4 linked regions of the Tamandua tetradactyla genome follow. The protein of the gene in region 4 interacts with the protein of the main gene of each other region in a pairwise test. Links are inferred from orthologs where the notes say so. Each region holds a gene or a part of one and is shown on either strand. Other genes may lie near its edges.

Evidence for each region.
Region 1: the proteins of KASH5 (region 4) and UPK1B interact in binary tests that used the Homo sapiens proteins (3 or more experiments, as listed by UniProt). The two-hybrid records come from large-scale screens. The link is inferred for Tamandua tetradactyla from reciprocal best matches to the Homo sapiens genes KASH5 and UPK1B.
Region 2: the proteins of KASH5 (region 4) and NSG1 interact in binary tests that used the Homo sapiens proteins (3 or more experiments, as listed by UniProt). The two-hybrid records come from large-scale screens. The link is inferred for Tamandua tetradactyla from reciprocal best matches to the Homo sapiens genes KASH5 and NSG1.
Region 3: the proteins of KASH5 (region 4) and GOSR2 interact in binary tests that used the Homo sapiens proteins (3 or more experiments, as listed by UniProt). The two-hybrid records come from large-scale screens. The link is inferred for Tamandua tetradactyla from reciprocal best matches to the Homo sapiens genes KASH5 and GOSR2.

Annotation. Positions count from the first base shown.
Region 1 is NC_135336.1:26,917,322-26,924,380, reverse strand, and holds the start of UPK1B (uroplakin-1b), read left to right. Parts: upstream 1-4,053; 5' UTR 4,054-4,178; intron 4,179-7,059. UniProt on the Homo sapiens protein: Component of the asymmetric unit membrane (AUM); a highly specialized biomembrane elaborated by terminally differentiated urothelial cells.
Region 2 is NC_135345.1:8,695,809-8,703,334, reverse strand, and holds the start of NSG1 (neuronal vesicle trafficking-associated protein 1), read left to right. Parts: upstream 1-4,524; 5' UTR 4,525-4,717; intron 4,718-4,723; exon of another isoform or gene 4,724-5,095; intron 5,096-7,526.
Region 3 is NC_135332.1:21,422,941-21,430,692, forward strand, and holds the start of GOSR2 (Golgi SNAP receptor complex member 2), read left to right. Parts: upstream 1-4,739; 5' UTR 4,740-4,821; coding exon 4,822-4,850; intron 4,851-7,752. UniProt on the Homo sapiens protein: Involved in transport of proteins from the cis/medial-Golgi to the trans-Golgi network.
Region 4 is NC_135342.1:11,710,466-11,717,841, reverse strand, and holds the start of KASH5 (protein KASH5), read left to right. Parts: upstream 1-4,365; 5' UTR 4,366-4,494; intron 4,495-4,600; exon of another isoform or gene 4,601-4,795; intron 4,796-5,179; exon of another isoform or gene 5,180-5,223; intron 5,224-6,415; 5' UTR 6,416-6,491; coding exon 6,492-6,534; intron 6,535-6,999; exon of another isoform or gene 7,000-7,258; intron 7,259-7,376. UniProt on the Homo sapiens protein: As a component of the LINC (LInker of Nucleoskeleton and Cytoskeleton) complex, involved in the connection between the nuclear lamina and the cytoskeleton.

The sequences.
Region 1 (7,059 bases), on a different chromosome or scaffold from region 4:
CGTTCACCATAACCCATTACCAAAACTGTTTCATCACCCCAAACAGAAACTCTACCCATTAAGCAATAACTCCCCATTCTCTCCTTCTCTGCCAGTTATTTTGTAACCCACTTCCTGTCTCAATGAATTTTTTTTTCTAGATTTTTCATATAAGTGGGATCATGCCCTATTTGTTCTTTCGTGTCCAGCTTTCTTCACTCAGCATAATGTTTTCACGGTTCATCCATGTTGTAGCATATATCAGATGTCATTCCTTTTTATGACTGATTAATATTCCATTGTATGTAAATACCACATTTTCTTTATACCACATATTCATCTGCTGAATAATACCTGTTTTAAGTAACATATTTCCCTTTTTATATTTGTAATATAGATCCTTTGTAAACAAATGAACTACAAAAAAAGAAAAAGAAGTCACCCATATCCCACCATCCAGATATAACCCTGTTAACGTTTACTGTGCATTCTTCCTAACTTTTTAATTCATGTACATATGTATATCCCTTTAAAAAATAAAAATGCATCAATTTGTACAAACTTTTGTAACCTGATTTTTCACTCTTAGCACCTACTAGATGCCTGACATATCAAGTTCTCGATAAAGATTTGTTGAATAAATAAGTGAACCTATTTCTGTTTCATTAAATATTTTTCTATGGCATCATTTTAAACAGTTGCACAGATTTCTACTGAAGTATTATCATTTATTTAACTAGACCCTGAAGATCTGAAGAGGAAAAAAGCATTATGGTGGACACAAATATACCCCAATTAGACCCCTCTTCAAGACTCGTTGCTCAGTAGCTAGTACTGGTAGTCTCCAACCTCCGGCTGTCAGCCCCCTTTAAAGATTGCTTGAACTACCAAAAGACACCTTGCAAGGATGACCCTGATCCTGGGACTGTTTAAGGAAAAGCACAATAAAGAACAGTTACTATGGCCGTCTTGGGTCCAGAGCTCCAGGGAAAAGGCTAGCTAAGGATGTTTTGCCTGCATTACAGTTCAGATTCTATCTGTGCCCAATCCTCTTTCTTCCCTCTCCCTTCTAAGGGTTTTAATACAAAGGGCACTGCCTAATAAATATACTGCACACTAAACTCATATCTCACAATCTGCATCCTGAAGAAACTAACCTGTAACAGGAATAGTGCTAATCCTTGAGGAACTCCCCAGTCTATTGATTAAACCCTCAGTAAATTCTAACATTACTGCCCTTACTTCTTCCCTATACCATATTAAATCAACTGTGAAGCATAGATGTCATGATATTCTATTCAGCCATTAAAGTAATGTTGGTGCTGTATATGACATATGGTGGCTCCAGAGAAAGGAAAGGATAGAAAGAAAGGAAAAAAGCAAAGGAGGACAGAAAAACTCCAACAGGTGCTGGAGAGAATGTAGAGAAAGAGGCACACTTATCCACTGTTGGTGGGAATGTAAAATGGGACAACCACTGTGGAAGGCAGTTTGGCGGTTCCTCAGGAAGCTAAGTATAGAATTGCCATATGACCTGGCAATACCATTGCTAGGCATCTACTCAGAGGACATGAAGGCAAGGAAACAAATGGACATTTGCACACCAATGTTTACAGCAGCATTATTTACAATTGCCAAGAGTTGGAAACAGCCAAATGTCCATCAACAGACAAGTGGCTAAACAAGCTGTGGTATATACATACCATGGAATATTAGGCAGTTGTAAGACAGAATAAAGTTGTGAAGTAACAGCATGGATGGACCTTGAGGACATTATGCTGAGTGAGATTAGCCAGAAACAAAAGGACAAATACTGTATGGTCTCACTAATATGAACTGACATTAGTGAATGAACTTGTAGAATTTCAGCTAAGAACAGAAACTATCAGGAGATAGAAATAGAGTAGATATTGGGTATTTGGAGCTGAAGGGATACAGATTGTGCAACAGGACTGATTGTAAAAATTCAGAAATGGATAGCACAATACTACCTAACTGTAATACAATAATGTTAGTACACTGAATGTGAGAATGATAGAGGGAGAAGGGCTAGGGGCACAAATGAAATCAGAAGGAAAGATAGACGATAAAAACTGAGATGGTATAATCTAGGAATGCATAGAATGTGCAATGAGAAGTGACTAAATGTACAAATTAAAAAATGCTTTTGCATGAGAAAGAAAAATGAATGTCAATACTGCAGGGTGCTGAAAATACATACTAATCATATTTTAAAACTTTAACTTATGAGTGAGACTAAAGCAAAAAATGTTTATTTGGTACAAAATTTATATTTTGACTAGTGCATTTCCCAATATAACTTATGTGGGCAGCTTAATTGAACACCGTAAGTACATGGAACCTTGAGTAGGGCATGAGATTTTCTAAGTTTATCCAGAGTGATGCCCCGATAAATCCTAGAGTGATTTGAACAGTGAATTAAAAAGTATTTACAAAGTCCCCTTGGGGGAATGGCAAGAAAGAGGGAAAATTCAACTTCCCCATGTGGAGAATTCCTGATATTCTCACAAGCAGTGAGGACAACAAAATCAATAGGCCGAGCCTCAATCTTGGAGTTTGTTCATAGGAAACTTATCCCCGCAAAGGATAGTCTAAGCCTACTTAAAATTAGGCCTAAGAGCCACCCCAGAGAATACCTTTTATTACTCTCTCTCAGCCAGCACAACAAGCAAACTCACTGCCCTCCCCTTCTCTGTATGGGACATGACTCCCAGGGGTGTAAACCTTCCTGGCAGCGTAGGACAGAAATCCTAGAATGAGCTGGGACTCAGGGTCAAGGAAATGAGAAAACCTTCTAGACCAAAAGGGGGAAGAGAGAAATGAGACAATGGCTGAGAGATTTCAAATAGTGTCGAGAGGTTATCCTGGAGGTCATTCTTAAGCATTATATATAGATATCGTCTTTTTAGTTAAGGTATATTGGAGAGGTTGGAGGGAAGTGCCTGAAACTGTAGAGCTCTGTTCCAGTAGCCATGTTTCTTGAAGATGATTGTATAATGATATAGCTTTCACAATGTGACTGTGTGTGTGATTGTGAAAACTTGTTCTGATGCTCCTTTTATCTACAGTATGGACAGATGAATAAAACATATGGATTAAAAATAAATAATAGGGGCAACAAATGTTTAAATAAATTTAGTAGATTGAAATGCTAGTGATTGATGAAAAGGAATGATAAGGGGTATAGAAAAAAATAGAGGAAACAAAGGCTAAAATATATTGAGTAGATGGAAATACTAGGAATCAATGAGAGGGAAGGGTAAGGGGATGGTATGTATGAGTTTTTTTCTTTTTTCTTTTTATTTCTTTTTCTGAATTGATGCAAATGTTCTTAAAAATGATCATGGTGATGAATATACAACTATGTGATGATATTGTGAGTTATTGATTATATACCAAGAATGGAATGATCATATGGTAAGAATGTTTGTGTTTGTATGTTATGTTTAAAAAAAATTTTAAATTAAAAAAGAAAAAAAGCAAAGGAGGAAGGAAGGGAAGGGGAGAGATTGGAAGAGACAAATTCAATATGAGATAATTATCCGAGCCCTCTCTCTATGTTCAAATTCCTTCCAGTCTGTTTGTATCCAGGTTTCTTGACCCTCCCCTTATTAGTGTTTGAACCATCTACAGTGGCACAACTTGGGCAATTACTATTCCCATGAATATAACCCGATATATTACAGAAACTGAAGCTGGATGTGACCCTGTACAGGTAAACATGTACCCACATCACTATGAGCAGCCAAGGCAATAGACAGACCTTGCAATACATGAAAGCAGAAGTAAGGATCAAGTAACACTTATAAAAGCAAATCAAATCAAAAGAAAAAAGAAAAATAATAAAAATGAAAATCTGAGTTCGTGTTCAAGTAAAGTCCACACTTAGGAGGCATCCAGATAAGTACCGAGCTGAGCCTCGTCCCAGTGCTCCTATCTGTCAGCATCACCACATACCAAAGAAGCAGAAATCCACTGACTGGAAGAGTCCTGCCAGTTCTGACATGAGTGAGGCAGGCTCAGGCAGCACCAGGTTCAACCCATGTGAGATCCTCCCAATCACAGCCCATCTTTCCTACTCCCAGAAGTTTGAAGAATTGCTGCAGGGTAGAAAAGCACCTCAGGCCAGTGCAGATTTCAGAGTGACCAGCACAGCAAGGAGACCAGGAGAGGGCTCTGTGAGTAGACTGATTTCACTCTGCAGAGAAACCCACTGCACTCTGAATGGTTGGGTTGCTTCCCTGGGAGGGAAGGCGGTGGTCAGAAAGGGAAAGGGGAAGAAGTTACACCCCTGATGAACAGAGCGTTCTATTTTTTTGTAATCTAGGATGTTGTGATTGTTACGTTCTCTTTTACTTTGAACTATTTAAACTGCTTTCCTGAAATCTTTGATATCGTCCTATTCTCAGCACTGGGGTTAAGGTTTTTCTGAGGATGTTGTTCTGATTGCAATTGATGTCTGTCCTGATTTCAACTTCAAATTTCCTCACAGAAAGGCCAAGAAAAATCCTAGAACCCTGGGAAACCCTGTATCTCCCAATTAAATCTCATATAAACCTATGTAGACCTCCAATTTCCTTTTGGAGTCAGAAACGGAAAAGAAAACTTAAGGAAACAGGTCACGTTCTTTCTTAATACACTGTTTCTTAGCTTAGCAGAAAGAACGTTTCCTGGTTTTGTCAGAAATCATTTGTTCCTGCCAACTAGTAATGAGATTTGTGAGACAATTTATTCATGATTTTTCTCTGCAAACAGTTTGGCTTAATAATTGTGTCTGTTCACATCAGTCAATAAATTAGATTCACTTCTTTATTCGTTGTCTAAATCACTCTGGGATTTGTTGTGGCATCATACCTACCTGGGCAAACCAACACAATCTCACGCCCTATTAAAGAGTCCATGTACTTATGGTGTTCAGCTAAACTGACCATACAAATTAAATTAGGAAATTCACTACCCAAAATATAAATCTTGCACCAAATAAACATCTCTCCCTTTAGTCTCACACAGAAGTTGAAGTTTTAAGATATGGGCGATACCATTCCTTACCCAGTCTTCTGATATACCTTAGTCCTACCCAGATCAGCCTCATTCATATCTCTGCTCGATGTCTGATCACTTTTTCAACAATCGGTGTGGAGTTTCTTTTGGGAGTGAGGAAAATGTTCTGTAATTAGATAATGGTGAGAGTTGCACAACAAAATCCGCTGAACTGTGCGTTTTAAAATGGTGAAAATGGTGAATGTTATGTGAAATTTATCTCAATAAAATAGTGTTCAGATAAAAAAATAAATTAGCTTTATCAACACAATGCTACTTTTATATAATTTATTTTTATTCTTCACCAATTTGTTGATCTGTGAGGGTCAGCAAGTTAAAAATCTATTTTTGCCCTCATATATTGTTATATATACCTAAAACCCCACTTCTAACTAGTTTTAAATATTTTTAAGCATCTTGAATTTTAGGTCTTTTATAAATGTCCTTGTGAAATTAAAGATAATTTTTATTGTCCATTTTTTGCCTGAGTTGAATGGCTAAGCAAAACAAGAAAAAATTCACTTAGTATATATATATATATATCTTAGATTATATAAGCCTTGTGAAGAGATGTTTTCCTTTTGATAAACCTTTTCAACGAGGAAAAAAAATTCTTGTTTTCTGCTACAACAGACTATTTTTTTTTTTGCTTTCTGCTATCACAGGTTAAAAATCAGCTCACCTACTTATTTTTAAAAAGTACCTGGGAAGAATCATAGACTCTTAAATTCAAAGGGAACCATAGATAGCATCTAGTCAAGAAAAATAAGTAATATCTTAGAATTTCTTTTTTAACCTCTCCTGAGTGCATTCTTAACCAAAGCAAACAGCAATCAGCCCCAGAATGCACCGTATCCTGCTGCTGGATTCCAGACCCGATGGCTCCACAGGCTGCCCTCAGTCCTGATGGGCCTCCATTCCCTAGCTGGGGCAGAGACCACATTCATGAGGGGGTACTGTAATCTCACCTCCTCCAAGTATTCTCCATACCGTTCCTGCCCTGAGGCTGGCAAGGCTCACTCCTGAGGTCCGCACTCAGCTGAAGTGCCTGAGCCATTGCTTATATGGTAGTCCTTGATTTCAGGTGGACTCTGGGATCATCCCAGGAGTCTAGAGTATCACTGCACCATAGAACGTCCATAAAGATGGAAATGTTCTATAAGGAGCCACTAGCACGTGTGGCTGTCGAACACTCGAAGTGTGGCTATGGCAACAAAAGAACTGAATTTTTCATTTAATTTAATTTGAACTGATTTAAATCTAGCTACTCACATGCAGCTAGTAGCTACTGTATTGCTCAGTGTAGATCTAGACCTTCAAAGCAGGAAAAACTGATGGTACTGTGAGCTGTGGATGTCATGGCCAAGGGAACAAGCTCTTTTTTTCATCATTCCCAGGGACTCATCCTACCTTAAATTTAAGCAGACCAGCAACAGAACTGATCTAAAATTTCCACACCCACCTGTGCTCTCAACCCTTAGCCATACAACCATGTGCTTTTGTCCTGGGTTTCAGGGCCAAGGCTAAGGCAAAAGCATATTGTGTTTCTTGGTTTCTTCCTTTCCTGTTCCCCTTTCTTCTTTTTTCTTTTTTTTCCCCCTTTTGTTAATCTAAATTTCTCTAGCATGAGCTAGTTTGAGGTGTGGTCTCTGTGGTCTTTGGTACAACGAACTTGAATGAGTGAAAAGGTAATGAATTTGAAAAACTGATCTCATGCTTGGTGGATGAATCTCACTTCTTTTTCTTCTGCTTTGAAAATTGGTTTTATTTACAAGAAATTGTTTTTAGACCTATTCAGTGTCTGGAAACACCAGCACTATGGATCTGAATAATTTTTATAAGAAAAGAAACCAAATGAAGGCATAAGAGAAAAAGAAACAACCAGAATTAAAGCTCCAGCCTTTCTAAAATCTACACTTTTCAAAACAAAGAAACTCCCAAGGTGTTGAGCAATTTGAGTAAATCATCATGGTGCCAGGTCCCTGGGTAGTTTTTTCATAGGGTGAGGCTCACAGGAGG
Region 2 (7,526 bases), on a different chromosome or scaffold from region 4:
TGAAAAATTCTGAGCCCAAAACAAATTCTTAGTTAATGATAGGAATCATAGAGTCATAAAGATTGTTAAGCATTTGCCCAAAGACAAATTCTAGGTATGTGACAGCAAGCCACAAATTCTGCTAGCTATCTCCTCCTAAAACAAAGAAGACACGTAGTGCTCAAAGGTTACTATGGAAATCTGCTACCAACAAAACTTTCCTATAAAACAAGCTGGCCCATTCCATTCACCGCTTGTCCCTCTCTTGGGCACATCCGAGTTAAACTCCCTTAACTCTCTCTTTTTAAATAACTTTTTAAAATAAACTGTAGTACTTATTCCTATTGGCCCTCTTGTTTCTAAATTCTTTTAGTTTCGAGATTAAGAACTTGGACTGGGGTTCAGCTGGCATCACTGCCTGTCTTCCAAGCCTCATCCTTCCCTCCAGCCACAAGCTGTACTCATTCACTCTTCCGTGCCTTTGCTCCAGCTCTCCCCTGTGCCTGAAATTCACTTCTCTTTCATTTCCTCCTAGCAAACTTCTACACATCCCTCAAGACCCAACTCAGTTGAAGCTTTCTCTGTTCATCCCAAAGCAAGTTGGAGTTTCTCTCCTCTACTCCTGCCATCCTACCCTCATCCCAGGTCTCCCCCTAGGAGAGCATAATGATTCATTTGCATCCTGTCTCTACCTGAGAATCTCCAAAGGAGCCCAGACAGAGCTGGCCTACAATAAAGACCCATTTAACATCTTCTGAGTCAGCAAGTAGTGATTGCATGTCATGGCTGACCAATGAGCATGACTAACTTTTTATCCTTAACTGTCAGAAGTAAGAATTATAATCCCATTTAATAGATGGGGTAACTGAGGCTTAGAAGGTTTAAGGAAGTTGGTGGGGGGTGGAGAGAGAGAGGGAAAGGGAGAAAGAGAGTGGGAGAGAGAGAGAGGGAGAGAGGGAGAAGGAGAGAGGGAGAGGCAGAGCTGGTGCTGTCTGAATTCAAATAGCTCCTGTTCTTTCAGTGTGTTTGACTCGATTTGATTCATCTCTATTAGTTTCATTTCAATTCAATGAGGTTCATTTTAACTCAATTCAGTTCAGTAAATGTTTACTGCACACCTGCTGGAAGTGGGCCCCTCCCCCAAGGGATGGCCATTCTGAAAGGAGAGGCGGATGGTAAAGAGTTTCTCCAAGGGAGGGGGCCCCACAGTGCAGGTGACCCTCCCTCTGGGCCAGTCTTTGGAACCAGAACCGCTTTCCTGAAGACCTGACACTTGAGCGCAGGTGGGTGGGGAAGCAAGAGGCCGGCCTGTCCACCATGCAAAGTCCTGGAGGGATCCGGGAGGGTCAGCACTGGGAGTCCTGGCTGCCTGGAGTGGAGGCTGCTGGAACAGAGGCAGCAGGTGACCAGGCCAGGTCGCAGAGGCCCCCAGGTCTGCCAGAAGCCAGGCCCTGGGAGGTGGCCAGCCCTCCCAGGGTTTCATAGGTTCCTAGTCAACCCCTCCCCACCCACAAGTACCCCTCGCCGATGGAGGGGGGCAGCTTTCCTTTCCCTTGATGTAACAGAAGGTCCTCAGCTGTTTGATGCCTCCACCCACCCACCCCCACTCCAACCCTGGAGGCTTTGCCAAATAGGGTGGACAGGGTCAGATATCTCCAGGCTGGGATGCAGCGAGGTTGACCATTGGCCCTTTGCCAGCTCTGCAATTTGATGAGTTGCTGGGAAATCTCCATCTTCTAAGCATTGCAAACCACCTGACAAACATTTAGGGTGAAAATCTTTTTATATACAAACAAATATTTTCATTGCTAAGTTATTTATAATAAGAAGAAATTAACAACCTAGGTGGGTAGTCAAAAAAATTCTGACACATCCATAATTATGTAAGCATCAGTTTAAAAATATTTATTGACAGGGTGTGCCAGTTTGATTCTGTCATGTACCCTGTGAAAAGCCATGCTTTAATTCTGACCCAATCCTGGGGGAAGAGCTCTTTCTTTTCACCCTGATTCAATATTGTGGGGTGGAAACTTTGATCTTCATGGAGATGTGACACACCCAATTGTGGATGTGACCTTTGATTAAATGGAGATGTGACTCCACCCATTCTAGGTGGGTCTTGATTGGTTTACTGGAATCCTTTAAAAGAAGAAACATTTTGGAGTTGCTTCAGAAGTGACATAGATGGAGATGCTTGTAGACAGAGTGAGAAATAGCCCAGGTGCTCAGCAAGGAATCACAGAAATAGCCAGAACCTGAAGAGAAGAAATCTCTGGCCCTGGCCAATGCTAAGCCAAGAGATGAAACCCAGAGCTTTGTCCCGGAATAGCTAAGTGAAGGGCCACAGATGCTCAGAGAGGTAATCACCGGCCTCGGAAGCTGGAAGCAGCAGAACCAGGAACAAGGCCCCGCAGATGTCAGCCACGTGCCTTTCCAGAGCTTCCTCTGGATGCCTTAGGTAGGGCGTATTTATGGCCTTAGAACTGTAAACTTGTGTTGTGACTTATCAAATTCCCTTTATAAAAGCCATTCCATTTCTGGTATATCACATTCCAGCAGCTTAACAAACTAAGACACAGGGGAACTGGTCCCAGTAATATATTGTCAAATGAAAAATGTAAGATACAAGACTGTATAAATCATGTCATTTATTTAAAAAATGAAAGTGATGTTTCTTGCATTTAACTTAACTTCAAATCTATTTGGGCAAAGACAGATTGGAAACGGACATTTAACCAACATGTGCGATCCTGTCAGCCAGCACACTCAACGAGCCTGTCAAGAGAGCCCCGAGCCTGCCCCTTCCTGGGCAATCCCAGCTTGCGGGTGCCTCCTTCTTCGTGAGCAGGATGCGAGAGGTTAAAGCGGTGCAAGTCCAGAAAATACATCTCCTAAACACAAGTCAAGTATGACTTCTGGGGCTTAATCAAAGAAAAAATAATCTCTTCCAGAAAACACTAGTTATGTTGTACTTCTTGAAAGAAAGCCTTGTATGATGTTTTATTGGTGATTTAACAGTTTATTATAAATTCTTTGGACAATTCTCAATTTTAGCCTTAGGTCACGGAACCTAATCCTTGCATAAACAAAATTCCAGTTTTATATGCATGTGAAAGGCTAGAATGGAACACAGGAAAATGTTTATAGTCTACAAAACTTTGTGTAATGGTGTTCTTTTTGCCAAAGCTGCCAGAAAGCAATATACCAGAAATGGAACGGCTTTTATAAAAGGGATTTATTAAGTTACAAGCTTACAGTTCTAAGGCCCTAAAAGAGAAAGATACCTTAACTCCAAAGAAAGGCCGATTGATGTCGGTCACAAGGGAAGGCTCATGACTGGCATCTGCTGGTCCTTGTTCCCTGTGCATTGTCTTTACCTTCTGAATCCAGTGGCTTTCTCTTTAGGTGTCTGTGGGTCCTGACTTAGCTGCTCTGGGGGAAAACTCTGGGTTTCATCTCTCAGCTTAGTGTCTCATGGAAAGGCACATAGCGACGTCTGCTGGGCTCTGGCTCCTGTCTAGCTTCTGTTGGTTCTCTCAGCTCCTGGCATCTCCTGCGCCTTCTGTTATTTCCAGAAGTCTGAAAGTTTTCTCCTAAATGTTTCCCTGTGTGGGCTCTTTTCAGGACTCCAATAAACTAATCAAGACCCACCTTGAATGGGTGGTCACATCTCTATCTAATCAAAAGGTTCCACCCACAATTGGGTGTGTCCAATCTAAACAATAGGTTTGGCCCCACAAAATCCAGATTAGAAAAAGAAGGTGGCTTTTCTGGGTTACAAAACAGTTTCAAACTAGCCAGATGGGATTAGAAGGGTAATGGTCTTTTTAAACCAAAAGACTCCTGAAATAAATAGACATGCTGGGAATCACCTGACAGGTGCCTGCGGGGACTGGGAAGCTCTATTCTTGTCAAAAGGCCCATCAAAGCATGCAGCTGCCTTATAGGGCAGGTGAAGTCTCCCTCAGCCTGCAGGGTGGACTGGAAGCCCTCTGGGCGCTGACCTCTACCCTCCTCCCTGTCTCAGAGTCCCTGCGCCCCTGAACAACCCTGGGCTCCACACCCCCACTCCTGGGGTGCTACCTTCCTCACTCCCTCACAGGCTTCCTCCTCCCCTACTCTCTAGGACCCACTGCGACCCAGGCACCCTTCTCCACAGCTCCCCCTGGCCCACCCACGCAATGCTCACATCTTCTGTGAAAACACCGTTAAGCATATTCCTCTGTCTGTCCGCTCCCCCAGACCAAACAAGCTGCAGAAAACAGGGCTCTGCCTCAGGCACTGACCTCAGTGTGGCAGACTGAATGATGATGCACCCCGATTTAGACGTGATCTTAATCTGCATTCCGTGGGCGCGAGCCCATTGCAAACAGGACCTCTTGAAGCGGGGATTTTAGCCAGGGGCGGTCCAATGGAAAAAGGGTGGGTCTTAATCCGGATTACAAGCAGAAGAAATTGAGACATCAAAAGGGCACCACGGGGAGAAGCCGGAAGCCGGAAGCCGGAAGTGGATGGAACCGGAAGAGGAAGGAGAGGACGCGGCTCTGTTCTGGAAGCCGATGTGGGGGCCGAGGAGCCCTGAGGAGCGCGTGGGGCCGAGGAGCGGAGAGGAGGAGTCGTTGCCACCTCGGCATCTCAATTTGGGACTTCTCTGAGTCTCAAAACTGTGAGCCCACAAATCTCTGTTTAAGCCAATCCATTGGCATTCCTCAGAGCAGCCGGGAAACTAAGACTCTCAGTAAGTGCGGATGGTTGGGGTGAATAAATAATGGGCTTCGGAGCCACCCAAGACTTGAGTTTAGATCCCAGGTCAGCATGGACTAGATAAGGGGCTTAGTCTCAGTGAGCCTCAGTTTCCCCGTCTGAAAAATGCGACAATGACCCTTGCCACTTAGGGTTGGTGGGTGGTCTGGATGAGCACGCCAACTGCCTAGAGCAGAGCTGACCAGGTGTCAGTCCCCATTGCATACAAGAGGCTTCCGAATGGTATGTTAGGCCCTGTTCTGCCTGCAAGAGGGCCACAAAACACAGACGCAGTTCAGCCTCGATTCAGCTACTGGCCTGGAATTCCAGCTCTGCTAATAACCTCCACGTGCCTCTATTTCTTCTCAGTAAAGTGGGTTTGAGAATGATCCCCCTCTTGGGGGTGGGGGGGGGGTGAGAAGATGAGAAGAGCTAATGTTTGTAAAGCACATAGAACAGTGTCTAGCTCGAAGGAAATGCTAAATGTTGTTAAAATGAATAAAAGTCTAGCAAGAAGACATTCACAGATGGTCTGCCTGCTGAAGTGGCCCTCGGTTCTTTTCTCTGACTTTGGTCCACCTTGGTTTAGAATCCACCCCCACTCCCCCACTCCGGCCATCTCATGCTGCGGGTGGGGGTGGGGGTGGGGGTTTGCTTCTCAGCTTTATAGGTGGGTTGAGACCTTTGCATCCGGCTGGAATCCAAGTACCACTTTTACTGTCTCAGGCCCCCTTGTTGTCTGTGAAGCCACCATGTACAAGGGATGCGGCAGAGGCAAGGGGGACAGATCTTCTGGGAACTTGCAGCAGGTACAAGACTCCAGCCTCTGCACAGCAGACACTGTGCCAAATTCACACCAGTCATTCCCCAGGAGTTTGGATGTTGGGCAGCCTCAATGTTGAACATCCAATATGGTCTGCTTGCCCAGCTCCATGCAGCCGAAACAGTCTGAGCCTTCAAAGCTCTGTAGAACCCACACTTTCTCTGCGCAAAAGTCTTTCCACATCATTGCCACTCCCCTTTCATCCCCCTGGTCACCGTGAGAAAACAAAGGGACATGGGCCCCAAACCCACACTCACTGCTTAGCGTAAAGAAAAGGGTCAAAGGGACATGGGCCCCAAACCCACTTTCACCACTTCCTGCTGTGTGACCTCACCACATTATTCACCCTCTCTGAATACCTTCCTTCTTTCATGAAATGGGAATAAGAATACTTCCAACAGAGGAATATGGAAGGAATTCAGTGCAATCAAGAAGGACATAGAGTTAGTCCCTTCTCTGGCATTGGTTCCTGTTTGAGTTTCTAGGCTCCTTTGACAAATACCACACAACAGGTTGCCAGGAACAATATGAATTCATTGACTCATGGTTTCAGAGGCCAGAAGTCCAAGCGCAAGGTGTCAGCAAGGCCACACTTTCTCCCCAAAGTCTGTAGCATTCTAGTACGGGTTTGCAGCATCCCAATACGGGTTTGCAGCATCCTTGGGGCTTTCTTGGGGCTTGCATCTCTGCCTCCTGCCACATGGTGACCACTCTTTCTTCTGTGTCTGTTCTTCTGGCTTCCACTGATGTTCAGCTTCTCCCTGAGCGGGCTTCTCAGATTCTTGGCTTCCAGTTTCTTCTCTCTATAAGGTTTCCAGGAATGTTCATTAAGACCCACCCTGATTCAGGTGGACCTGAAGAGGACCTTTGAAGATCCTAGTCGCAAATGTGTTCACACACCGAATCAACACAGTCGAAGATACTATTTAGAAATGTGTTCACACCCATGGAAACATGGATTAAGATAAAATGTCTTTCATCAGCGTTCATAATTCAACCTGGCACAGTTTGCCTTTCTCAGTTCTCTTATTCACTACCTCCATACTGGCTGTCACCTCCACCACTTAGTAGTATTGCTAACTCGCATGAGCTGGGCAACTCCACTTACAAGCAAGTTCCCTAAATTAGGATTCGGCCTGCATCACCACTGAGTCCCTGCAGCACCTGGCTCATGGGGGCTGCCCATTGAATACCTGCTGATTACACAGTTGCCACCCATAAACGTGCCCACTTGTCAACACAAACTCCTTCCTATGCATGGTTTCCAAATTCTTTGACAAGGAGCAGCGAATGTTTATCTTTAGACTTGTTTTATGACATTTCCCAAGCGTCTAGTAGACACCAAGTCCTGCGGCAGGAACTGTGGGAAACACTGGGATGAGAGAGGAAGAAACTGCAGGGTTCTTGTGGATCTAGTCCTGACCACAATCCCACAGTGGTGGCTTGGCAGGTGTTAAATAAACACGATACAATTCCGATGGGGATGGGATGTCAAAACAAGTTCCAACCAAGCAATCAAATATTAGTTACTGATGAGAGTGTGGGCCCAGGGACAAAAACAGCCTGGGGTTCGAATCCCAGTGGCACCATTTATGTGCTGTCATGGATTGAATGGTGACCTCAGAAAGTTATACCCATGTCCTAATGCCTGGAGCCTGTGAGTGCTCCCTTACTGGGAGAAAGGGTCTTTATGATGTGATTGAGTTAAGGATTTTGAGGTGAGATCATCCTGGATTACCCAGCTGGGCCCTAAATCTCTTCTAAGTGGCTTTATGAGAGAAAGGTAGGGGGAGATTTGATAGAAACAGACCAGAAGACAGCAGGAGGTTATATGAGGATGGAGTACTGTGGCCATAAGCGAAGGAATGCTAAGATTTGTCAGGAAGACACTGAAAGCTGAAAAGAGGCAATGAAGGGTTCTCCCCTAGAGCTTCCTAGGGGTGCACAGCCCTGCCAACACCTTTGTATCAGCCTATTTTTC
Region 3 (7,752 bases), on a different chromosome or scaffold from region 4:
AATAATAAGAACAAAACAAACAAAACAAAACAAAACAAAAACCTATAGCTCGGATGCAGCTTCGTTCAGTATTTTAACATGATTACTTTACAATTAGGTATTATTGTGCTGTCCATTTTTGAGTTTTTGTATCTAGTCCTATTGCACCATCTGTATTCCATCAGCTCCAATTACCCATTATCTTACCCTGTTTCTAACTCCTGCTGAACTCTGTTACCAATGACATATTCCAAGTTTATTCTCGAGTGTCGATTCACATCATTGGGACCATACAGTATTTGTCTTTTAGCTTTTGGCTAGACTCACTCAGCATAATGTTTTCTAGGTCCATCCATGTTATTACATGCTTCATAAGTTTATCCTGTCTTAACGCTGCATAATATTCCATCGTGTGTATATACCAAAGTTTGTTTAGCCACTCGTCTGTTGATGGACATTTTGGCTGTTTCCATCTCTTTGCAATTGTTTATAGCGCTGCTATAAACATTGGTGTGCAAATGTCTGTTTGAGTTTTTGCCCTTAATTCCTTTGAGTAGATTCCCAGCAATGGTATTGCTGGGTCGTATGGCAATTCTATATTCAGCTTTTTGAGGAACCGCCAAACTGCTTTCCACAGTGGTTGCACCATTTGACATTCCCACCAACAGTGGATAAGTGTGCCTCTTTCACCGCATCCTCTCCAGCACTTGTCATTTTCTGTTTTGTTGATAATGGCCATTCTGGTGGGTGTTAGATGATATCTCATTGTGGTTTTGATTTGCATTTCTCTAATGGCCAGGGACATTGAGCATCTCTTCATGTGTCTTTTGGCCATTTGTATTTCCTCCTCTGAGAGGTGTCTATTCAAGTCTTTTTCCCATTTTGTAATTGGGTTGGCTATCTTTTTGTTGTTGAGTTGAACAATCTCATTATAAATTCTGGATACTAGACCTTTATCTGATATGTCGTTTCCAAATATTGATTCCCATTGTGTAGGCTGTCTTTCTACTTTATTGATGAAGTTCTTTGATGCACAAAAGTGTTTAATTTTGAGGAGTTCCCATTTATTTATTTCCTTCTTCAGTGCTCTTGCTTTAGGTGTAAGGTCCATAAAACCGCCTCCAATTGTAAGATTCATAAGATATCTCCCTACATTTTCCTCTAACTGTTCTATGGTCTTAGACCTAATGTTTAGATCTTTGATCCATTTTGAGTTAACTTTTGTGTAGGGTGTGAGATATGGGTCTTCTTTCATTCTTTTGCATATGGATATCCAGTTCTCTAGGCACCATTTATTGAAGAGACTGTTCTGTCCCAGGTGAGTTGGCTTGACTCCCTTATCAAAGATCAAATGTCCATAGGTGAGAGGGTCTATATCTGAGCACTCTATTCAATTCCATTGGTCGATATATCTATCTTTATGCCAATACCATGCTGTTTTGACCACTGTGGCTTCATAATATGCCTTAAAGTCTGGCAGCGCAAGACCTCCAGCTTCGTTTTTTTTCCTCAAGATGTTTTTAGCAATTCGGGGCACCCTGCCCTTCCAGATAAATTTGCTTATTGGTTTTTCTATTTCTGAAAAATAAGTTGTTGGAATTTTGATTGGTATTGCATTGAATCTGTAAATCAATTTAGGTAGGATTGACATCTTAACTATATTTAGTCTTCCAATCCATGAACACGGTATGCCCTTCCATCTGTTTAGGTCTTCTGTGATTTCTTTTAGCAGTTTTTTGTAGTTTTCTTTGTATAGGTCTTTTGTCTCTTTAGTTAAATTTATTCCTAGGTATTTTATTCTTTTAGTTGCAATTGTAAATGGGATTCGTTTCTTGATTTCCCCCTCAGCTTGTTCATTGCTAGTGTATAGAAATGCTACAGATTTTTGAATGTTGATCTTGTAACCTGCTACTTTGCTGCACTCATTTATTAGCTCTAGTAGTTTTGTTGTGGATTTTTCCGGGTTTTCGACGTATAGTATCATATCGTCTGCAAACAGTGATAGTTTTACTTCTTCCTTTCCAATTTTGATGCCTTGTATTTCTTTTTCTTGTCTAATTGCTCTGGCTAGAACCTCCAACACAATGTTGAATAATAGTGGTGATAGTGGACATCCTTGTCTTGTTCCTGATCTTAGGGGGAACGTTTTCAATTTTTCCCCATTAAGGATAATATTAGCTGTGGGTTTTTCATATATTCCCTCTATCATTTTAAGGAAGTTCCCTTGTATTCCTATCCTTTGAAGTGTTTTCAACAGGAAAGGATGTTGAATCTTTTCAAATGCCTTCTCTGCATCAATTGAGATGATCATGTGATTTTTCTGCTTTAATTTGTTGATATGGTGTATTACATTAATTGATTTTCTTATGTTGAACCATCCTTGCATACCTGGGATGAATCCTACTTGGTCATGATGAATAATTCTTTTAATGTGTTGTTGGATACGATTTGCTAGAATTTTATTGAGGATTTTTGCATCTATATTCATTAGAGAGATCGGCCTGTAGTTTTCTTTTCTTGTAATATCTTTGCCTGGTTTTGGTATGAGGGTTCAGAAACGGAATTTTTAAATTCCGTTTTAAAAAGGGGAATTTAATAGGTCGCTAGTTTACAGTTCTAAGATGGAGAAAATGTCCCAATTAAAGCAAGTCTATAGAAATGTCCAATCAAAGGTATCCAGGGAAACATACGTTGGTTCAAGAAGGCCGATGAAGTTCACAATTCCTTTCTCAAGTGGAAGGGCACATGGCGAACATGGTGTCATCTGTTATCTTCTTCTCCTGGCTTCCTGTTTCATGAAGCTCCCCGGGAGGTATTTTCCTTCTTCATCTCCAAAGGTCGCTGGCTGGTGGACTCTCTGCTTCGTGGTGCTGCAGCATTCTCTGCTCTCTCTGAATCTTTCATTCTCCAAAATGTTTCCTCTTTATAGGACTCCAGTAAACCAATCAAGACCCACCCAAATGGGTAGAGACATGTCGTCACCTAATCCAGTCTAACAACCATTCTTGACTAAATTACATGATCCAGGGAGATGATCTGATTACAGTTTCAAACATACAGTATTGAATAGGGATTATTCTACCTTTATGAAATGGGATTTTAATTAAAACATGGCTTTTCTAGGGGGCATACATCCTTTCAAACCAGCCCAGCCATTAAAAAAAAGAAGAAGAAGAAATGGGATAGAAGTTAAAAGTGCAGCAAGATGGAGCGAAGAAGTTTTCTTCCATTTAGGGCGAGGGCTAACCCCGTAAAAAAAAAAAAGCAAAAAACCCTAAAAGACTGTGAGAGAGAGGGGAGACCTGGACTTCCATTTTTCCTTATCTGCTTTACCCACTTCACAGGGATGTTGTGAGACCTAAAGAACAAGATATAGGCACAAAAAATAATGGAAAAAATTGAAAATTTCTATCCAATTTTGGACAGCTTCCAACTACTGCATGAACAAAAACTAAGCATGGTGTTTAAAATTCTTTATCAGGCCCCTGTGTTCCACAGAAGACCCATGTTCTTTATCTCTGTCTTTGTTCCAGCTGTTCACTCAGCTTCAAATGCTTTCTCTTTCATCTCAGCACGGCCAATTCAATAAACACTTAGAGTTGTTAGTGTGTCTAAAACTATTCACTCTCCAGGGTCCTATTCAAATGCTATTTAGTCCATGAACCCTTCTTGCTCATCCCTCAGAGTGCCCCCCTCCCCTGGAGAAATAGTACTTTGTATCAATTGTAGCACTTATCACATTATCACCTGATAATATGATTGAGGGCATGATTTAGCCCTCCCAAAAGAGTATGAGATATGATGACACAGGCTGTGTCCTGGAATTCTTACCTCCAGTGTATGTGCCTTTTACATAGTAGATGCTCAATAAGTGTTAGAATAAATGGAAAAATTAATTTTAGGGAAAGAAATTGAATGACGGTAAGCAGTCTCTGGGACACAAAACTGGGTGGGATCCAGGATACAGGAAAATGGAAGCACCAACTTATCAAAGGAAGAGGAACATCTCCTCCCTAGAGAAGGACTGCAGATAAGCCTGGGAGAATGGACATGGGACAGATCCTTGTGTCCAAATCTTTCAAGTTCCAACCCTACTGCTACCTCTTTCATGAAGCCTTTCCTGAAATTCCCATTGGACGCGATTTCAGTTTGGCTCAACCTGTTTTCATCTCTGGATTTTCTACCTTCTAAAATGGTTATTTTTATAGTTATTTTATGTACTTTCCTAGACCGCGATCTCTTTGATGGCAGGAAGAAGACAGTTTCCTCCACTGCACACACGGCATGGTAAACACTCATTCGAAGTGGGTTTATTGAATGGATAAATGGGGCGAGTGAACTGGGCCAGTGAACAGACAAATCTAAGACAGGAGAAGCTTGCGCCACAGATTTCAGTGATGAATGAACTCTCCAGACCCACAATTAGCAAAATGTTTAACACAAAGCCAAGTAGAGACTCTCTTTTTCTCCTCCTGCAGTTAAAAGGTATCCCTCCCCTCACATCCAGCCTAGCCCTAAGGACCTCACGCCAGCACCCTGCGGCTATCTTTGACAATGACTGATTCAACCCTGAAGTCAACCTGCCGCCCAAACCTACATCACCTCATCCTCTATGAGAGTTCGAACTTATGGTCACATTTATCCTTTTTCTTCCGACCTCTTTTCTCATTCCCCTCCTCGGGCTTCTCTCTTACAGCCAATTAGGCGCGCGGGCGGGCACCCCTAGCAGGCAGGCGCGAGAGGGCCCTGCGACCGGAAGCCGGAAGCCGGAGGCCGGAAGTTGGGGGGTCTGTGAGGACGTGTTCTGGGAAAGCCGGAGCCCGGGCGGCCCGAGTCGGCGCCATGGAGCCGCTGTATCAGCAAACGCACAAGTGAGGACCGCAGCGGGGCACGGGCTGGGGCAAAACCAGGCGGGGCGAGACCAGCCGCCGGGGCTGGGGTATGGGGACGTCCGCTGGTGTGGACGCCGAATTCCTCCGTGCGGGGGCTCTGCCGGCGTCGGCTTAATCTCTGGCGAGATGCCCATGTCAGCGGCGGACAGAGGGTCGCGTCTGGGGCCTGCAAAAGTTAGGCCGGGTCGTTCGTGTCTACGAGCCCGTGACTACCTGCTCTTTTGCACACTGAATGGAGGGAAAATCGTACCTACAGATTATAATACTGTGTCCAGCACTTGCCAACTCGGTTATTTTTAAGGAAATTGAACTTTGGTTTAGCTTCTCATAACTTAAATTCCTTGGAAGTGGTGTTTATTCATATTGACCTGCGGTTTTGGATCTTGCTGAGATACGTAGTTGAGTATGGTGATAGGGGCCATATCTATCCTACTCTTTAAACTTTCCATTTTATCCCGTAGTTCTTTTCTGGTGAGCACACTTAAAATCACATTCCCGCAGCACGGAAATGAAATCATGTAGGCACCAGCGTCCCTAATGAATTTACAGCAAAAGAAGAGCTTTAGAGCTCTTCTTATTAGGAAATAAGAGGATGATGTCCCTCTTATGCTTTCATCTTTTTTTTTTTTTTTCCTTTTTACTTGAGCGATAAAGTGTTTGGTTTGGGGGAGTGAAAATACAGAACTTACTTTGTAATGGTATGAAAATAACCAAATTTGCTCTTACAGTGGGGAAACCAATTCTCATAGAAAAATTATAGAAAGGGTCTTGAAAAACTAGAGGTATGAGTCAACTGATGAAGAAACGAAACAGAAAATTACTCTCATGTTACTAAGGAAGGGCAGGTTTTTTACAATAACAAAGCACAGTGGGCTGAGTAGTGCCTTCTGTGATGTAGAATCTCATCTGATTAAATGATGTTGCTAAGAAGCTATTATTTACTCTTTTCAAGAATCATTTTGTTCAGAAAGTCTTAGACTGTACCGTTACCAGCTGCAGTAGGTAGCTGATCACAGGGAAATGTGGGTAGCTGGATTTTATGTAAACTTAGAGAGAGGAAGGAATACTAACTGGTGTCCCAAACAAACTTGGAGAATATAGATAGACTCCTTATCTCTGCAGACCTCCAACAACCACTCTTGGACTCTATGGCAGCATTCACCAGCTTTTTCTGTGAAGGGCCAGATAGTAAATATTTTGGGCTTTATGGGCCATACAGTTTCTGTTCCAGCTACTCACCTCTACTGTTTTTTTTTTTATTATTATTAATTAAAGAAAAAAAGAAATTAACACAACATTTAGAAATCATTCCATTCTATATATGCAATCAGTAATTCTTAACATCATCACATAGATGCATGATCATCATTTCTTAGTACATTTGCATCGATTTAGGAAAAGAACTAGCAAAACAACAGAAAAAGATATAGAATGTTAATATAGAGAAAAAAATAAAAATAATAATAAAAAAAGAAAAGGAAAAAATGAAAAAAAACAAAAGATACAAACAAACAAAAAAAACTATAGCTCAGATGCAGCTTCATTCAGTGTTTTAACATAATTACATTACAATTAGGTATTATTGTGCTGTCCATTTTTGAGTTTTTGTATCTAGTCCTGTTGCACAGTCTGTATCCCTTCAGTTCCAATTACCCATTATCTTACCCTGTTTCTAACTCCTGCTGGTCTCTGTTACCAATGACATATTCCAAGTTTATTCTCGAATGTCGGTTCACATCAATGGGACCATACAATATTTGTCCTTTAGTTTTTAGCTAGACTCACTCAGCATAATGTTCTCTAGGTCCATCCATGTTATTACATGCTTCATAAGTTTATTCTGTCTTAAAACTGCATAATATTCCATCGTATGTATATACCGCAGTTTGTTTAGCCACTCGTCTGTTGACTCACCTCTACTCTTGTAGAGCAAAGGCAGCCACAGGCAAAACATAAACGAATGGTTATGACTGTCATAACCATTTATGTCAATAAAACTTTATTCACAAAAATAGACGGTGGGCCAGTTTTGGCCCTCTAATCTTAAATCATTCATTCAAATAGTATCTCTTGAGCACCTGCTATGGAACAGGCACCATTCTCGGTGCTGACAATACAGCCCTGCCTGCAAGGAATTTACCTTCTTTCATCCAACAATACTTTCTCATCTGCCTTTCTCTACATATAACAGAGCCAGGAATGGGAAACTTGGCTTTGTTTTTCTTGCTGTATAAAATGTTCATTTGGGAATGCTAAGGCTCCTTTTAGAATACTGTGATTAAGAGTCTTTAAAAGGAGTGTTTTCCTTATATGAAAAATGTTAATTTGGGGCTGGTAAGGTTCCTTTTAGCTCTGATTCTGTGATTGGGAGCCTTTAAAAGGAAACACACAGAGTTCTATGAACACCAGCACTGAAGTTTTACAGTTACAGAAATTAATGACAGTAGTTGAATTGAATACATATCTGTAAATTTTGGTAAGCCTAAGTTGATGTTTTTTTTTAAACTGAACAAAGCACAGGGCCAAAGGCAGTCCTGTTGTCGGACAGTAGAAATCTTTCCAAGTCTTCCTTGCATGCTGTTGTTTGAGTCTGCCATGAATCCCTCAATCTGTAATATCATCAAGCCATTATTCAACATAAGATAGAATGAGAAACTACCAAATGCCTCTTAAACTCTTAAACTGACTGTGGCATCCTCAGTGTATTGCTCCTTTCCCACTGGAGACACACCTTGCCCATGAGCCATTGTGATCGTATATCCCATTTATTTGTTGAATTGAGTACATTAATGGTTGGATGAATATATGAATGAGTCAATAAATGAAGGGCGCTCCTCATTAACAATTTTTTTTTTTACATGGGCAGGCATCGGGAATCGAA
Region 4 (7,376 bases):
GAAATACTCCACAGTTGTGAAAAGAGTGACCCCGTGCTGCATGATAGATCTCAGAAAGATAATAATGAGCAAAAGAAAACATGATCAACAGTGATTATCTTTGGGGAGTAATGATTAGAAAGAGGTGTTAGGGATACCTCTCTTTCTTAATATAGACAATGATTACACTAGTATATTTATTAAAATGTTATTGGCCTGTATATTAAGATTTGGCATTTAACTATATGTATGTTACAACTTTACCAAAAAAAAGGTTTTTTTAATTACCCAGACCTCAAAAAAGGAAAAAAAAAAACTGTAGAATAAACCAATCAATGAATGACAGAACACTGGTTAATAAAACTAAGAGATACACCACTGACCAGGCTGTCCTATGAAGACGCTTGGCATGCATTCTGACTGAACTCTCCTAAAGCCCCATGAGGTGGGTAACAATTGTCTCCATTTTGGAGAAGAGGAAGCTGAGCTTCAGGAAGTGAAGCCACTTTCCAAGGTCACAGAACAAAGGCACCAGGTTTTTTAAATCCATACCTCACCTCTTGAAGCACTTCACCACTCCACCTGCCAAACCAGTTCCTTCCCAGGCTTTATAACAGGCCACCACCTAATAGCCAAAATAATAACTACCAATTAACAGGGACCTTGTATAAGCCTGGAATTATCCCCTTGAATCCTCCAGGTAACCTAAGAGATCATTATTATCTCTATTTTTGGGATGAAAACTGAGGCTCTGAGAAGGGAAGTCATTTTCCCAATGTCACAGGAAGAGAAGAAGCCAGAGTATAAACCCAAGAGTATCTGACTCCAGGATCCATAGCCTTAGCCATTACTCTACACTCTTCAGTAGTTACCCTTGACTACTGAATTCATCCACCCATCCATCCATCCATCCATCCACTCATCCACCCAGTCATACATTCAGCAAATATGCTTTGACTGCCACACTGGGCCTGACATGTCCTAGTCCCAAAACAAAGTCTGCATAGAGCTCACATTCTAGAGAAAATTACCAATAATAACCTAAACATAGCTCAACTTCCCTGGCCATTAGAGAAATGCAAATCAAAACCACAATGAGATATCATCTCACACCCACCAGAATGGCCATTATCAACAAAACAGAAAATGACAAGTGCTGGAGAGGATGTGGAGAAAGAGGCACACTTATTCACTGCTGGTGGGAATGTCAAATGGTACAACCGCTGTGGATGGCAGTTCGGCGGTTCCTCAAAATGCTGAGTATAGAATTGCCATATGACCTGGGCAATACCCGGCAATACTCAAGGGACATAAGGGCAAAGACACAAACGGGCATTTGCACACCAATGTTTATAGCAGCATTATTTAAAATTGCAAAAAGATGGAAACAGCCAAAATGTCCATCAACAGACGAGTGGCTAAACAAACTGTGGTATATACATACGGTGGAATATTATGCAGTTTTAAGACAGAATAAAGTTATGAAATATGTAACAACATGGATGGACCTTGAGTACATTATGCTGAGTGAGACTAGCCAAAAACAAAAGGACAAATACTGTATGGTCTCACTGATGTGAACTGACATTAGTGAATAAACTTGGAATATTTCGTTGGTAACAGAGACCATCAGGAGATAGAAATAGGGTAAGATATTGGGTAACTGGAGCTGAAGGGATACAGACTGTGCAACAGTACTGAATACAAAAACTCAGAAATGGACAGCACTATACTACCTAAGTGTAATACAATTATGTTAAAACACTGAATGAAGCTGCATGTGAGAATGATAGAGGGAGGAGGGCTGGGGGCATAAATGAAATCAGAAAGAAAGATGTTAAAGATTGAGATGGTATAATCTAGGAATGCCTAGAGTGTATAATGATAGTGACTAAATGTACAGATTTTTAAAATGTTTTTGCATGAGGAAGAACAAAGGAATGTCATTATTGCAGGGTGCTGAAAATAGATGGTAATTAATATTTTAAAATGTCACCTTAGGTGTGAGACTAAAGCAAACAATGTTTACTTGGCACAAAATTTATATTTTGACTAGTGCATTTCCTAAGATAACTTATGTAGGTAGTTTGATTGAACACCATAAGTACTTGGAATCTCAGGTAGGACATGAGATTTTGTTGGTTTGCCCAGAGTGATGCCCTGATGAATCCCAGAGTGATTCGATCAGTGAGTGGAAAAGTATTTGCAAAGTCCCCTTCAGGGAATGGTGAGAACAGAGAGAAATTCAACTTTCCCAAGTTGAATTCTTGATATTCTCAGAAGCAATGTGGACAACCAAGCTATAGGCTGAGCCCCCAGTCTTGGGGGTTGTTCATATGAAACTTAACCCCACAAAGGATAGGTCAAGTCTACTTAAAATTTAGGCCCAAGAAAAGAACTAGCAAAACAACAGAAAAAGATATAGAATGTTAATATAGAGGAAAAAAATAAAAATAATAATAATAGTAAAAAGAAAAAAAAAGAAAAGGAAAAACAAACAAACAAACAGACAGACAGACAAAAAAAAAAGATTTAGGCCCAAGAGTTATCCCCAGGAGAACCTCTTTTGTTGCTCAGATGTGGCCTCTCTCTCCAGCCAACACAACAAGCAAACTCACCACCCTCCCCCTGCCTACGTGACATGGGACATGATTCCCAGGGGTGTGGACCTTCCTGGCAATGTGGGACAGAAATCCTAGAATGAGCTGAGACTCAGCATCAAGGGATTAAGGAAAACCCTAGAATGAGCTGAAATTCAGCATCAAGGGATTGAGAAAACCTTCTCGACCAAAAGGGGGAAGAGTGAAATGAAGACAAAGTGTCAATGGCTGAGAGATTCCAAATGGAGCCGAGAGGTTATCCTGGAGGTTATTCTTAAGCATTGAGTAGATATCACCTTCTTATTCAAGATGTAATGGAGAGGCTGGAGGGAACTGCCTGAAAATGTAGAGCTGTGTTCCAGTAGCCATGTTTCTTTTTTTTTTTTTCAATGTAATTTTATTGAGATAGCTCTGCACACCACACAATCCATCCAAAATAAACAGTGGTTCACAATACATCACATATTTCTGTATTCATCACAATGATCATTTTTAGAACATTTACATTACTCCAGAGAAAGAAATAAAAAGAAAAAAGAAAAATCCCATACATCCCATACCCCTTACCTCTCCCTCTTACTGACCACTGGCATTGCACTCTACTCACTTTTAAGACTTACAATAGAGATAGATTAACTAACGCAGTGCAGTTTTGACATGTGTATATATATATACAAAATCAGTGAAACAAAGCAAAACATCAAGAAGTAGGTCCATACAAACACAGCAACTGACCCTTATTTTTGCAATATAGTTAAACAATCATTACCAACGACCAGAGTAATGGATTACAGTTCAACAACTTCTGGCTAGTCTAAAATACTAGACCCTATGAAGAAATATCTATATAATAAGTCAGTATATTTTGTTTGCCTTTCATGAGAGAGATTCAAGCATGCTTAGAAGCCCAGTGTGAAGAATCCAGTTGGGAATGAACAGCTAACTATGAAAGAGAGAAGATGAGGAGTTGGAAGAGGGAGGGTCCTGAGCAGGCAGAAGGAGATGGAGTCTTAGCCATGTTTCTTGAGGATGGTTGTATAATGATACAGCTTTCACAGTGTGACTGCGTGATTGTGAAAACCTTGTGTCTGATGCTCCTTTTATCTACCACGTCAACAAACGAGTAGAACATATGGAATAAAAATAAATAATAGGGGGAACAAATGTTAAAATAAAAATAATAATAATAACCTAAACATAGACTGTCACCTGGTGAAACCATTGAAGACCACGTAAACAGAAAAGGTGGTTAGAGGGACAGGGGTTCTATGTAGACAGCCTAGCAGGGAAGGATTCTGAGCACGTCACAGCTGAATGAATGATGCCCAATGAACGAGAGGGTAGATAAGATTCTGTTTTTGTGTCTGGACTATCAGGGAGGCAGAGAAGAAGGGACACCTTTTGTCCCACACCCCCCTTCTTGAGTATCCATTGTTTGTAATTCTCCTCCTCTATGTAGAAAAACTAGGACTACTTTTCCCCTCCTCCCAAGCCGAACGAACCAAATGCTTTGAGGAGCACCCTTCGGGGTCCTCCTGACACAGCGTTCCCGGAGTCACAAAAGGAATCCGGCGTGAGAGCGAGAGCCGTGAGGAGGGAGAGGGCGGGACATTGTGACGGGAATGGGCCACCTGGCAAGGAACAGAGCGTAGGAAGGGCACGGTGTGGGCTGGACGAGCGGTCCCTCAGTCCTCCTCTGCCTTGCTCAGCGTCATTTAGCAGAAGCTTAAGGCACCAGCAGACAAGGCCTCGCAAAGCTCCCGCAACTGCCCCTCCTTCGCCGCAACTGCCCCTCCTTCGCCGCAACAGTTAAAACGCATCCACTGCCCCAGCTTCGCCAACGCGCACGCGCAGTTGCCACCAGCGTGGGCGCGAGCCCGGGCAGACCCACGCATGCGCGACACTGCCGTTACAGGTAACCAACAAGAATAGCTCGCGCCCTCTCAGCGATGTGCGCTTGCGTCAAGGAGGGAGCACGGCGGGGAGGGGTGGGGCTTAGTTGCTGCGCATGCTCTCGCACGCGCAGTCCCTCACCGCGCGCAACTGCCGTCGTTTGTTAGTGGCCTTCGTCGGTGTCTCGAGATTTGGTCGCAGCTCTGGGTGTGCCCTGCGTGAGCGAGACTCCCCACAGAATCCGTGTCAGAGCCGCTCCAGGAAACCTGACAAAGACCCCCAAACTGTAGGCGAGACGCCCCAAATCAGGGCTTCTAAATCCTGTAAGAGTCCTCTTTGAAAGCCTGGCAGAATCTTGTAGAAAGCCTGTCAGGCTTCTCTGTCAGACCTTCCCAACAAATCCTTTCAGGGAGTCCCCGAAATCCTGTCAGGGAGCGCCTGAGATCCTATCATACCCCCGAAATATGCTAGTCAGACATTCCTCCCCAAATCCAATCAGAGACACCCTCATGCCCGAGCTCCTCAGGGGTCTCGTACGTCAAAGCCCGGTCCTGCTCTCCTCATCTGAGCCGAGCCTCGGTGACGCTTCCTGAGTTAGTCCCTGAAACCTAGGCAGGACACAGGCCCCACGTTAAGCGTCGCTCTCTGCACCCCCGAGGGTTGTCCAAACCCCGGAAGCGTCTCCCTTCAGACGCCCCTTTTTCTAGGACCTTCTGAGTCCGCGCGCCCGCTGGGAGCTGGAGAGAGCAGGGTGAGGGGGGACATGGTGAGGAAGGAAGAGGGCGGGGTGGGGGGGGTACCGCTTTGTGGGGACACTGAGGACCCCACCGACTCGGGCGCAGACCCCCTACCCCCGCCGCGGTCAGCCCGGATGGCGCCTGCCCCCCAGTGAATTAGTGCAGCACCCAGTCGCTTTGGGAAATGTCCCGGGGTCAGCCCCTGCCGTCCTGTGGTGGAGCTGGCTGTGACCAGAATTGCACGGGGGATGGCCAAAGCTCAGAGGAGGGGCCCTGGGAAGGCTACCCAGGGCTAGGCAGGAGTGACGCTAGTGCCTGGGGGTGGTCCATGCCTGGGGGAACGTGGTTCTCCGGGAGAAGAGCAGGTTTGAGAGTACGTGCTGAGCTGCCCCGGGGCATGGTGAGGGCAGGGGACCTGGGAGTCTGCCGATGCGGAGAAAAATGTCAAAAAGAGGGAAGGCATTTTGGGGACCACCCTGCATGGGGCTGGGGCACTAGGGAGCCATGGAAGAACTGGGAGCAGGGGGAGCCCGAAGTCCAGTGACAGGGTGCCCTGGTGGCCCAAGGCAATGCGGGACCCAGAGACAGCTCCTGGCTCAGCCCCAGGGTGGGGAGCAGAGCATTTACCCAAGGGAACGTCTTAAGTGGAGACAGGAAGGGCTGCCAGGGGTCAGGGACTGTGACACTGTGTCTGAGAAGGAGATGGGTGGGGCCAGGCCACCCAGGACCTTAAGTGCCAGGCCCAGGGTCCAGGTTCTGTCCCCAGGATGCTGGGGAGCCACAGAAAGGCATTGAGCAGGGGAGGGCAGATTCACTCTGGGGCCTGGTGGAGGATGGACGAGGTAATACCAGGAGGCTAGAGGCTGGGATACAGTCCAGGGGGAGAGGACGAGGCCTGAGCTGAGCCCGGGGCCTTAGGGAAGGAGAGCGAGACTGGTAGTCAGTAGATAGGAGGGACGGGGCTTCAGGGAGGAGGGAAGACTGCCCAACTCGACCCTCCCCTCCCCCTCCCCCCCACTAGTCACCCTTGATCTCTGCCGCCCCCCCTCAGGCCCCCATTTTCCCAGCCCACACCTCCAGTCCATAAAACAGGCCCTGGCAAGCTGCCCCAGTCCTAGCGGGGGCGGGCAAACAGGTTAGAGCGCCAGGAGGGCCCCAACTGCGGATGACCGACTGAGCAGGCTGTCCTGCCCGTTGTCCTTCCAGGAATGATCAGGTCCCTCCTGGTGATGGAGAGAGGCTGTTAGTGTTGCCAGCTGCTGCCAAGCAGTGGGGGTGGCCCATGGAGCTGCCGGAGGGCCAGGCAGGAGGCCGCACTGCAGAAAGTAGGTGACTGGGCCCCTGTGTGCCCTGGGGGGGGGGGGTGAGCAACAGGAGCAAAGGGGTTCCAGGCTGGGACTTGGGGACCCGGAGAGGGGCAGGGGGCAGGAGCTGACACTTCCCCTTCCTCAGGGGAAGCCAGGAAGCCTCTGCTCACGTTGTTCCCCCTTCCCCACTTCCTGGCAGGCCCATGCTGTGCTTCCTTAGGGTCTCTGCCCAGATGCCATCTCTTTCCTGTATGTGAGACTGCTGTCCTGTTATACTCTGTCCCCTTTCCTTCTATCCTTTTCATCACGACACTGACGTGCTTACTCCCCCTTCATCTGTTTCCTTCAGTCTGGTGTTCTCACTCCCCAGGGTAGGGCTGCCCAAGAGAAGCATCACGCGAGCCACATATGTGACTGTAAATTTTAAAGTTTTTTAGCAACCAAATTAAAAAAAGAAAGAAAGAAGAACAATCAAGATGAATGGTAATAATAGATTTTATTTAATCTGGTATATCCAAAAACAGTATCCTTCCAGCATCCAGGCAAAAACGAAAATGTACTGATGAGCTGTGTCCTCTTTTCCTGGCTAAGTCTTTATGATCAGCGTATATTTTACACTATCAGCATCGTGTGTTGCACTTGTTGTCGTCCAGGTGCTGGGTTGCCCTCTCTGAGACTCACCTGCCAAGTGGAGGGGAGCGATGGGGCTGTCCCCAACAGTTGTCCTGACAATGAGGTGTGGCTGCGAAGCAGAGCTGGGATGAGCTTTCCACAGGCAGTACGGATTTCGACAGAAAATTATTCCTGAGAGCACAATATTCTGATTCCCTTTTCTCAAGTGGGAAAGCTGAGACTCAGGA